2 linked regions of the Xenopus tropicalis genome follow. Each later gene encodes a partner of the first gene's protein in a complex. Links are inferred from orthologs where the notes say so. Each region holds a gene or a part of one and is shown on either strand. Other genes may lie near its edges.

Region 1 (6,215 bases):
GGAAATTAGCCCCTTTGTCAGTTTTTCAACATAAGCATTGATTTCGTTTTTTGCCTTTGAGCTGTGAAAATCGATAAGTTCGTATTCCATGTCAAAATACTTCTTGGTCAGGTTGACAAATTCGTCCTTCATGGAAAACGTTTCGTGTAAGAATGAGAGACTGCCTATGTTCAATACCAACTCCTCATTTTTGGCAATTTTTTCCTTAATTGTTTTCAGCAATTCTGGCAGCAAATAGGGATTTTCCTGGTCTTTAAATGGGTTATAGTTCAACCCATGTAATAGCTGGTCATATGTATTTCCTCTTGTTCCAAGCAATAAAGAAGAAAGTCCCAATGACACGCTAAATGGCGAGAAAAAGATGTTATTGTCATGTTTATTTGCAATTTTTCTGTAGAGATTGAACCCAAAATCACTGCTCATTTGAGACACATTAGCAAAAGAAAGCACTGTAGGGATCTGCTCCTCATTTCCAGATGGGAGACTAGAGTTCATCAGTGTTGCAGCAGAGGTCTGCTTGCTGCATTCTGAATGATCCACTTTCTGTTTCCTCGATGGTTTTTGTTGTTTAGTAGCATGATCAGCAATGCACAGTCCAATCAGAAGGAGAAGAAGTAGCCACAGTGTGCGTTTCATAGTGGTTCTTCTGCTAAGAATGGAAATACAGTTACAGTACATTATGAATTATAATTAAAATGACTTCAGTGAAATATTTCAGAATTAAACATATTCATTTCCATTACTAATTAAAAAAAATTGTGTCTCAGGCTAGATAAAAATTCACTTTCCATTAGCCAGATGCAAATATTAGCCTTCACATGTTGTTAACATACATTACAGAATGAGACCTTAGTAAAATCATTTGTATTGTAAATGTTAATCTGATGCTCACAAGAGATGTTATCTGTGTGGTCAGTTAGTATATGTATCAAGTGCACCTTGTATATGGATCACAACACTAGTGCTATTTATACTTCAAGATTTATTTACTACTTTGTGTTATTAGCTACTCACTTTGATATAGGAGAGAATAGAACTAAACAGTTTTGATAACACTACCACGACTAATACTTGCTTATTATTAGTTGAATCATTCATATAACAACGTTATTCTACTGATCTTTTGTGTGCACTTTTGTATACAATTCGCCATAAAATAGTATAATTTCAAATCTGCACTGACAGAGTGATGCCGTGTCTGTCATTTCATACTAAAGATGGAGTAGAAGGCAACAGATTGCTTCACTATCAGACTAAAGTGTAATGTTAATATATAGGCAGAGAAAATGTCATGTGTATTCCTTAGGCCTGATAATAAAGTGATAAGAATACTGAGAGGGCTTGATTTTTGTTTTAGAAATGCAGTTTCTAAAGGGATTTCTTTGCTATTAGTTTTCACTACATGTACCACTTAGGTTATAAAACCAAACCATAACTGTTTTATATTTACGGGTTGAGTTTAATAATAGATATTCATATAAAGGCTATGGGGAACGTAATATTTGTTCATAAAGGAAAAAAGGGTCACAACGGAACTAAAATATTGCTTTGACACAAATTGTGTACAGTCTGCGAACCCTTTGCATTTCTTGCTACAATAGGTTTGCAACTGTTAATTTTTTAGTTTGCGCAAGTGTGCTGTGCATGTAATAAAACTTCTTAAAGGGGACCTGTCACCCTAGAAAATAATTCCAAGTTGTTTTGTTTGGTGTTTGTCAAGTAAAATAAACTTCACGTACACTATATGAATGATTAAATCACAGGAAGCAGGCAGGTGCCATTTTGTGGACACTGTTAGTAAGGCAAGCTTTGTATCACCCCAAAAGCTTGTATATGTGCCAGAATGTGGGGATCAGATACCCATGCCCATGCACTGGTTACACAATTACATGGTGTAGTAACTGCTCAGTGGAAAGTGGAAGTAATTCTATGCCTCGCCTCTATACCTAAGGCATAAGTGAGGAGTAGTCAATATATGATTGACAGCTGGAATTTTTAAATTTATAATTTGTGTTTTAATAAAAAAAGGAATTTGGGTTTCATGTTTAATTTGAAAATGACTTTTAAAATACAGCTTTTTATGTTTGGGTGACAGGTCCCCTTTAATGAAATGAAAAATATTACATCGTAACATGAAATTTTTTTTATTCTTATTTCAGCGCCATTGTTTCTGTTTGTGAATTTGATTACATTTCATGTTACAGTGTGGAGTAGCTATTGCACTCCCCTACACAGAAAAAGCTGAGCTTCATGAAAAAAACCCAAAACATTAGTAGTACTTCAGCTCGTAAGGACAATGGTCACAATATATATTCGCCTCTTCAAAGTTTAACATGAGAATTGCTATGACCATGCCAGTGTACCCTCGAGTCAGGCTATTAATACTAAGAAATTTGTTAAAACAGTATTTTGATTTTTGCAGACAAGCAAATGCGAAAGGCCACAAAGATATCTAAATAAACAGCATATTTATGTTCCTAAGCAGAGGAGAGGGGAGGAAAGCAAAGGGGTGTTAGCATGGGAATGTCAAGGCAGAAGAAAGAGAAAGGAAAAAGAAAAAGACTGGCAGTTTGGTCCATCACCTCTGCACATCTGCACGTTGCTTAGACATTTTCCAGTGTTAGTGAGGCAATTTCATTTAAGTTAAATTAGGGTGGAGCTTTAGTTTTCAATTAGACTGCAATTATGAACATCACTTAGGAATAGTGGAGAAATTATAAATTGATATACTGTGTGTAGGCTGTATTTGTATTATCCTTAATACACCATTCATAGTAAAACCAGCACATTTACTTCTTCATTGTCACTTTAAAGAGCATTAGTCACTTTCAGGGAAATCTAGTGTAAATGCCATTCATTTCATTTCTATCTCCAATCTGCTGGCTAGTTTTACCGGCTTCAACACCCTGAAAGTGGCTTCATTGTCATTTTATTCAGTGATTATCATGTTACTCAAACAATTTATTGTAGAATTCTTTTAAAAAGTTAATAAAAGAGATACTTAAAGCTTCAAAATGCTTTTGTTAGTTTTAAAACATCTTCTAATAGATTGTTCTCATTCCTCTTATTATTATGTTTATTGTTCTTATCAGTGAATGGAAGGTGTGAGTAACACTGGCTGTGCCTTTTTATAATGCAGATTCACTTAAACATCTATATTAGGATTTCATTTAAATCTTACAAAGTGACATTATTTTTATATATATTTTTATATTATTTGCATAGTATGGAATTTCCTGTTATGTAAAATAATAAAATATCATTTCTGAACAATGCATTGGTCAGTAACGTCAAGCAAGCAGTCTTCCATTTATAATGTGACCCTGGGGGTATCATTTAAATGGAGTCTGTAAAAGATATTTCATTTTACTGTTATAAATGTTTACTCTCTGTAATGGTTTCTATTTCAAAATATATTTTGAATTACTTTTAGAATCAGAAACAATGCCGCACTGACAATGCTTGCTTGGACCTACACCAAGTATCTATAGTTATCGATAGTTACTACTAAATATTGTGAGTTCTTACCAGTGTTGCCTTGTTTCAGTCGCAGAAATACTAATGCAGCCAAAGGTTAATGTCCAACATCAGTGGTCTTTGACAAATATTTAGCAATACAAAGTATAAAGAATGAGCAAAGTCATTTCCTTTATTTATTAACAGCTGTGCACACAGATATGTCACCAAAACATTTCCCAAGAGAAAAAAAACGCCAATGCATGTATATCTATTACTAGCATTTCTCTTTTATCAGGACTCTCTCACATTTCCTATTCTGTACTGCAGTGGTGCAAAATAAGCACAGAAACTGTTGAGAGAATTCTGTCCTATTATACATAATTAAGGCTTTTATCCTTTGCGCTATTCGAGCCATGAATTACGTTTGGTATCTTGTTTATTGACACAAGTACCAAAACCACTGCATTTGAATTACTTTATCTGCTATGGAAAATGGGTCCTACGCCCCTAGAGGACCCTGCAGAGCAGTCTTTATTGCTATAACAGGTATGGGACCTGTTATTCAGAATGCTCAGGTAGGGGGTCCTTCCGTAATTTGGGTCTCCATACATTTACTAACACCCCATTTTTTGGCTTGGGGTTTTTGTCACCAAAATATGAGTTTGTCTTATAAAAAATTTGATTTTTTTACGATTTATTATGCAACAAAACAACAACAAATCTGAATGCAAAAATAAATCATCTAAAACCTGTTGTGATCATGTAGAAGTCAGTGGCAGATGTCCCTTTTAGAAATGGAAGATCTTTCTTTGCTTTGTTGTTTTAGAGTTTCTTTTATGCTGGCTTATGTAAAAAATACAAAAAAAAATTGGAGTTTTTGCGATTTTTCTGCATCTTTTTTTGTTTGTAGTTTTTCAGTTTGGATCTTTTGATAAATTACATTTCAATTCATGGAAATTAATTTATTTGTGGTTAAAATCCAAATGTTAATAAATGCCCCCCTAAGACTACTGAAAATTAATTAATTGAACCCAAGTTATTAGAGATTTCATGTAGAGAAATACATTGTACAGTACAATAGTTGGAAGAGGCAAGTTATTGTATCACAGCAGGTTGCCAGATAGGCTCTATGTTCTACATCTACAGTTAAAATGGGACAATTTGCAACTCAAAAATATATTTATATATTTATATATATATATTAAATCAGTCTTTCTAATATATAATACATGTGTAGCAGAATTTCTTATCCTGTTCCAACTTACAACAGAATATCTCATAAGCTTCATATTATGTTCAAACGAGCAGTTCAATATAACCCTGAACTCCATTAATTGCCAATTTGATTTTAAAAAAAACAATAAAAGTGGTAAATGTATGTTTTCACCTATAGCTATTGCTGCCTGGGCTGTGACAGTTAGGAAGTGGAAGTCAGAAGATTTGCCCACTATTTAAAGGTTATTGACAATAAAACCAACACAATGGTCCTACAGACTGATTCTCCCCATTTTGAAGGTCATCACACATTTTTAAAGGCATAATATCACCATTTAAGTGTCAGGTTTGGGGTACTACAAGTACATGGCTATCTCACCAAAATACAAACATATAAAGACACTGCTAGGGCACACTAAGGGGCTGATTTACTAACCCACGAATCCGACCCGAATTGGAAAAGTTCCGACTTGAAAACGAACATTTTGCGACTTTTTCGTATGTTTTGCGATTTTTTCGGATTCTGTACGAATTTTTCGTTACCAATACGATTTTTGCGTAAAAACGCGAGTTTTTCGTATCCATTACGAAAGTTGCGTAAAAAGTTGCGCATTTTTCGTAGCGTTAAAACTTACGCGAAAAATGCGCAACTTTTCGCGTAAGTTTTAACGCTACGAAAAATGCGCAACTTTTTACGCAACTTTCGTAATGGATAGGAAAACTCGCGTTTTTACGCAAAAATCGTATTGGTAACGAAAAATTCGTAAAGAATCCGAAAAAATCGCAAAACATACGAAAAAATCGCAAAATACCGATCATTACGAAAAAAACGCAATCGGACTCCATTCGACCCGTTCGTGGGTAAGTAAATCAGCCCCTTAGGGGCTGATTTACTAACCCACGAATTCGAATCCGAATTGGAAAAATTCCGATTGGAAAACGAACATTTTGCGACTTTTTTGTATTTTTTGCGATTTTTTCGGAGCCTTTATGACTTTTCGGAAATTATCGCGACTTTTTCGTTACCAATACGATTTGCACGAAAAAACGCGAGTTTTTCGTAGCCATTCCGAAAGTTGCGCAAAAACTGGCGATTTTTTCGTAGCGTTAAAACTTAAAAGGCGCGATGTTTCGCGCAAGTTTTAACGCTACGAAAAAATCGCAACTTTTCGCGCAAGTTTTAACGCTACGAAAAAATCGCCAGATTTTGCGCAACTTTCGGAATGGCTACGAAAAACTTGCGTTTTTTCGCACAAATCGTATTGGTAACGAAAAAGTCACGATAATTTTCCGAAAAAATCGCAAAATACCGATCATTACGAAAAAACCGCAATCGGACGCATTCGGCCCGTTCGTGGGTTAGTAAATGTGCCCCTTAGTGTGCCCTAGCAGTGTCTTTATCTTATTTGGGTCATATATGGTGATACAGGTGGTAACGGCCTCAATGTGTTAGTGAATGCAGCATGTGTGGGTTACCTAATAACAAGAACAGTGCTGTATATCGACCGATATCGCAGGTGATATTGGTCGACTCGCCGATC
Region 2 (6,103 bases), on another chromosome or scaffold:
CAAAGAATGGGACCATAGGGACATATTAGACCCTTTTTGGCAATGATATGTGAAAAATATCCTTTTTTCCACACATTTACAGTAAACAGTATGAAACTTTTACCTGCAACTTGCTTTATTAAGGTAAAAACAAAAGCGTGCACTACTTCATCCAGGGTATTTATAGGTGAACCCTGTGGTGTCTGACAATTAGGAGAACTATTGGGACATTACAATAATAAATAAGGTAATTGATCTTGCACGCATTCACAGTATTTTGGTGCACATTGCTCAGTTTTTCTAATATCACGGGAGACCCTAAAATCCTCTGGAAGGATCTTATAGTTGATAAATCATCAGACAGTTTATTGTATTGCACAGAAGTCCAAAATAATGCTGCATTTCTTGATGGTGCTTTAGAGCTTTATAAAGGGGAATAATTTACCCTCTCCTCCAGCAGAGCTATACCCTTTATAATACAGTACCATGCCATGTTGGCCCTTTCTTCTGCAAACTGGCATGTGTTACAAGTTTATTATCCACAAGTACCTCCAGGTCCTTATTAAGGATATTTTTATAGTTATCTACAGAAAATCTCATCTGCCAGTTAGTTGCCCAGATTGTCAGTTTGTCCAGATTCCACTGCAAGGATGACACATCCTGTATGTATTTTACTGTCTTGGATAGTTTTTGTTTCATTGCCAAATGTATACCATCCCCCAAGCCATTACCAGCTAAATCAAATAAAAGTGGAGAAAAAACAGAACCCAGTTGCACACTGCTATTACCTACTTCAATGTGATTTATTTGCTTGTTCTCTCATGTATAGCATTACTAAGACCAAAAGACTTTAGTTGAGAAAGCAAACTTGTGTTGCACCATATGCAATGGAAAAATCTACTCGGCTTCCTACTTACTTCATCATAAAAAGCTAGTACATTTCCTTGACCTGAAGAGTCCTTCAGAAAGCAATGCTGATAATTACTTTTAATGCCATGATCCAGAATATAATTTTTAAAGTGATCTCTTAAAGGAAAAGGAAAGGCTAATAAAGAGTTAATCTCAAGCTGCAGGCATACCTTCAGTTGTCTCAGGTCTCCCCATATTTCTCCCGTTCAGATGATCAGAAGCCAAACAGGAAGAAAAAACTGAAGCTGAGCTGTGTAAAGAAAGTTCCCATAATGCCTCACTCCTGCACAGACACCCAGACCAAGTGAACATGCTCAGTTAGTTAGCCTGCTGATTGGCTCAGATCCACATTCCTAAGGAGGGGGAGTGAGTTCTTAGCATTCTTGAGGGAGGGGGGTGCAGGAGAGAGCAGGAGAGAGCAGTGTGTCACTGGCACAGGAATTACAGACACAAGAAATCTTTTTACAGAGAAGTCAGTGCAGCTTTTCTGAAAGTGCTTATGGCTGTATTTACATAGACCTTTCTGATAAAGCTTACTTAGTTTTTACCTTTCGGTCACTATAGGATTTACAGGTCTATAATTGCCAGGTTGACACTAAATTTCTCTCCAGAAAACTCTAAGTCCTCAGCATTCTGGATAACAGGTCCAATACCTTTACTGCAATAGAACAAAATCTGAAGTAGTTTGGTTCAATAGTCTAATCTTCCCTTTTTTATAATTTTTTTTTAAAATTTTTTCTTGAGTGGAAAAGCTCGGAAAAAATATGTATTTGGATGAATTGACTAATTTTAAAAGGTTTTTTGGCCACTGTGGTAAAATGATTTTTGCTCAAAGTTGCAGAACAGTTTCTGGAGGAAAAAACAATGGGGAAGTAGGAAAATTATTTGATAAATTATCCTGATTGTTAACAAAAGTACGTATACCAACAAAAAAAAGAAAAAAAAAAGCCTGGCACTTATTTTCTAAATTATATAAATATCACTGTGCTTTTTGCCTAATTATTATTGTTAATAAACCTTACAATGTGCAAGGCATATATATGGATACGATTACAACTGAATATGATGATACAAAATACTTTTGTTTCTTTGTTTTATTTTTTTTTTCTATGAAATTCATGGTGCTTACTCGAGTCTGATCTTCTCTCTGGCAAACCAGCCACACATTTTAGATACAGACTGAGAATGAGACCATCAGTCTGACAAAGCTTTATGGCAAGATTCAGATAAAAGGATAATTTTGTAGGTATGATATAAATAATCATTTAAATGAATTTAAAATCTATCCCTCCACCATTTAACATCTGCAGAATGTAAATTGTTGCCCTTACTATTTACATTCTATTAAACTCTGAACTTTGAACTTTACATTTTTGTTATTTACTAACTCTTTGCACAGACATGCTGTCCACTAGCCCCAGGTATCAAAATGGCACATGCAGTGCAGACATTCTGCTTATTCTCCCTAATGCTTTTTATTCACCAAGCAGAGGCAAAAGGTATGAGAAACTTTTATTAACTATTAAGACTTTGTATTTTGTTTAGATTAGTAATGTGGGTTTAAATACTGGTAGAATTTAATGAATACAGATAAAAGACAGGGGCAGTTCAAAATAGATCTTTATGAGTAGGTTTAAGAGTATTTTGATGTGATTGTGATTGTCTAAATGAAAGGTGAATTTTTGGATGTAAAATAACAGCTATAATTTAATATGGATTAAATAGACCTGGATAGATCCAGACCTGGATACTCTGTAGCTCTCTATAAGTTGTTATCTATATATTGTAATATAATTACCACAAAACAAGGTTTACTATGCTACCAGGTAGAAGATTTAACTAAAACTACCTTAGACCTGAATAGACCCAGACCTGGATACTCTGTAGCTCTCTATAAGTTGTTATCTATATATTGTAATATAATTACCACAAAACAAGGTTTACTATGCTACCAGGTAGAAGATTTAACTAAAACTACCTTTTTTATATGTGCCTGAAAACTCTGTGTAATATTTACTAAGAATGGTCTCTTTGGTCTCCTTTATTTCTTCTACAAATTAGCAGTTGTGTTATACTTTATGCAGACAATAATGTTCTGAGATCATAACCGATTTAATTGGCAGAGTGACTAAAATACAAAAGCAAGCATAGTAAATGAATATATTAAGTAACAAAATGCTGGCCAGAACTAAAAACACACAAAAAATATAAATGTATTATTCACAATTACCCTAAGTGGAAGATTCATTCAAATAGAAAAATTGTTTTCTTGCATGTATCATTTTTCACTCAAATTATTTTGATGCCAAAATCTGAAATTTGCTTAAATTTTCCTACAGACTAACTGTAAAATAGCATGGGAATTCTCATGAATTGTTGAGACTTGTCAAGTATGTGGAGTGAAGGAAGGATCTCATCTGAAACACATGCTGATGTAGCCATTGGGTTAAGTGGATGTAGGCTTCAGGTAGCACATTTATATGCTGTTGAGAATTATTAAAGGAAAAACATTGATAAATACAAATCTCGATCTGACCCCAAGTTTATAATCTACAGTTTCTGTGTGCAGTGTCTTACTTCCTAGCTTTGCTTTATCTCCCTAGCATATAAATGGTGCCTATAAGGATATGATTTACAGTTTGATCCCATAGGGAAATGACCAAACTGTACATTATATAATAATAAACAAACTTTTCAAACATAACATAGCAAGAGTGCAAAGGGAGCAACACAACACACAGTGCTTAGATACAATTTTTTTTTTAATATTGGCCTCACAAAGCGTTTCTGGCCATATGGACCCATATTCAAGTCTTTTTCAACAACAACATAACTTTTGATGATTGTGATCAGGCTGAGGTTCATGATCTAGAACAGAAGCATGTATACATTATGTTTTTGCAACCTTGTTAACCTCCATCTATATAGTCTTCCTGTCTTCTGAAAATGCAAATAAAGTCATTCAGAGGTCCAAGAGAGACAACTTTATCTTCATCGAGGAATTACTGAAGGGAAATCTAGAAAGGGAATGCCTTGAAGAAAGGTGCTCATATGAGGAGGCGAGAGAGACATTTGAAAACACAGAAAAAACTGTAAGTATATAAGCTTAATAGTTTGTGTTTGTGCTGAGGTTGCTTACTGTCTTGCTATGAGGCCCTTCCAAATTTGACACATTCAGCATTTGTTTTTATTGTGGGTAGAAAACATAGAATGAATGGTCCTTTTAGGCAGCTCCAATTTGGGATGATGATTTAGCACCTTGCTTGAACATTCAACCAAACGCTTTTGATACCTACTTAGGACAACAAAGAGATGCTTTGATGCAGTCCCCAGCTTTGGTGATTATAGCTAAAGCTATTAAGTAAAGATAGAAGCAGTTTAACAAATTGTCCAAACAAAACAGTGTATGCTTTGCTCTATACTAGCTTGTAACAGTACATGCTATTCCCTAAACCAGTGCTGTCCAACTGGCGGCCCCCCACCTGTCTGGCCGCTTTGATGGCTTACCTTTATGTAGCCTTTAAGTGGTATCAGTACTGAGATTAACTGGCCCCCTGCATGGTTCACACCTCAGATTCAGGCTGTAATCCCCCTGTATTGTTTAAACATGTAATCCCCTGTGTTCTTCACACCTTTTAATCCCTACACTGTTCACCTTCTGCATTGTTCCCACCTCAGGCTCAGACTGTAAGCACCCATATTGTTCACCTGTTCACACCTCAGACTGTAGGAGCAGTAAAAACCCACAAATAGACCATGCACAGTACAAAAAGAACATATACTGAGGTGGTACTGCAATTAAAAAGTTTATTAATATATAGTTATTGTGCAGACTGTAGGAGCAGTGCCAGCATTGTGACACTGTATGCTGCCTGTGTGTGCCATACTCTGCCTACCCTATGCTGCCTGTGTGTGCCAGAAAGGGGAGTGGTTAAAACTGGCTTCCATTATCAGCCCTCCACCATGTAGGCCCCAAGAAATCCGGCCCTCGGTACCACAGACGTTGGACAGCACTACCCTAAACTATTTTACTGACTGAGCAACACTACATTAAACTGACCTGTATTCTTTTGTTAATATAGTTTGCTTGTTCATTTGTTTTTATTCAATAAATACTGAAAACCGGGCTTGCATTTGGGAAAACAGTGCAGTGACTGACCATCAAAATTCGAAAAGCAGTTTATAAAGTACAGTGTTCACTTCATCTACTGACAGCTTCAATGCTGACTATAATATCTTAGGTTTCAGTAATTTAAGGGGAAAAATGTATATACTTTGTGTATTTCATGTTTTTTATGGAAGGATATAGGACACTGCAAAGGCTGGCAATTACTGAAAACAGCTAATTTTTGTGTCCTGACAATTTGCATATGCAGCAAGGGTTAATCTATAGAAAATAAGAAAAAGAAAAAAAAAAAGAATGTATGGGTTTTATGGAAGAAGGACACAGAAGGTCTGTAAGTTTGTATACCTGTAATAAAATCTACCTATTGAATAATTCTTAATGCTATTATTTTTTATAGAAGCAATTTTGGAGCCAGTATCATGGTAAGTGTAACACTTATATATCTGCCACTCCTTGTAATAAGATTAGTGTTACAGACATACCCCCCGGGAAACAGATGAGCAAAACTCTGAAAATCAAATAAAAAATTACCAAGAAGTCTGAAAAGTCTGTTCTTCTGTTTTTAATCTCCATGCATCTCAGTATCTAAAAATTTCCTTGTACGCATGGAACATCCTATGCACAGCAAAGCACTGGGTATTCAGAACAAATACAATAGGGCACTTTTACATCTGCAGATGCAGTGGGCAATTTGTGGTTTTCCCCACAGTGTGTTGCATTTAAAAACAACTTCATTAAAGGTACATATGTCCCAATGCTATCTGTGTACTTGCTTATAATTGTGCTTAGCAGCATTGCGAACCCTGGAGCTACCATCATCTCCTGACCAAGTGGTAGCTTCAGAGTTCCCTCAGCACCCTGCATCAATAGGAACTACGCACTTGCACCTAAAGAATAAGGCACTGGCATCATTCACATGGCAAACACTGGAACTGACACCAGGCAGACTGCACAAATATTTGGCAAAACTGAGAAGTGCATGTGCAGTTACATCCATTTTGACAGATCAGACACAATGGTGCTTGACGCAGCATGCAAGAGTTAGACACAGTGCAATTATGTCTAATTCCACGTCCACAGAGTGCATGC

The links. The genes of interacting proteins can lie anywhere in the genome.
Region 2: the proteins of serpina10 (region 1) and proz are in contact, whole or in part, in a crystal structure (PDB 3H5C), measured with the Homo sapiens proteins. The link is inferred for Xenopus tropicalis from reciprocal best matches to the Homo sapiens genes SERPINA10 and PROZ. Residues at the interface, in NP_001094077.1 of Homo sapiens: Arg88, Lys89, Ser91, Met92, His94, Asp95, His257, Asp259, Lys260, Tyr261, Asn282, Phe283, Lys305, Met306, Asp308, His309, Leu310, Ala311, Leu312, Asp314, Tyr315, Leu316; in NP_003882.1 of Homo sapiens: Cys129, Pro131, Cys141, Leu142, Pro143, Ser151, His250, Met251, Arg252, Asp254, Ala257, Glu259, Asn260, Glu284, Lys285, Asp286, Phe287, His290, Leu291, Thr336, Thr337, Arg338, Arg390, Ser392, Leu393, Trp394, Gln397.

What each region holds. Positions count from the first base shown.
Region 1 is NC_030684.2:88,265,704-88,271,918, forward strand, and holds the start of serpina10 (protein Z-dependent protease inhibitor), read right to left. Parts: upstream 3,617-6,215; 5' UTR 3,529-3,616; intron 650-3,528; exon of another isoform or gene 647-649; 5' UTR 637-646; coding exon 1-636. UniProt on the Homo sapiens protein: Inhibits activity of the coagulation protease factor Xa in the presence of PROZ, calcium and phospholipids. Also inhibits factor XIa in the absence of cofactors.
Region 2 is NC_030678.2:116,056,164-116,062,266, reverse strand, and holds the start of proz (vitamin K-dependent protein Z precursor), read left to right. Parts: upstream 1-2,104; 5' UTR 2,105-2,134; intron 2,135-2,287; 5' UTR 2,288-2,317; coding exon 2,318-2,387; intron 2,388-3,816; coding exon 3,817-3,980; intron 3,981-5,411; coding exon 5,412-5,436; intron 5,437-6,103. UniProt on the Homo sapiens protein: Appears to assist hemostasis by binding thrombin and promoting its association with phospholipid vesicles. Inhibits activity of the coagulation protease factor Xa in the presence of SERPINA10, calcium and phospholipids.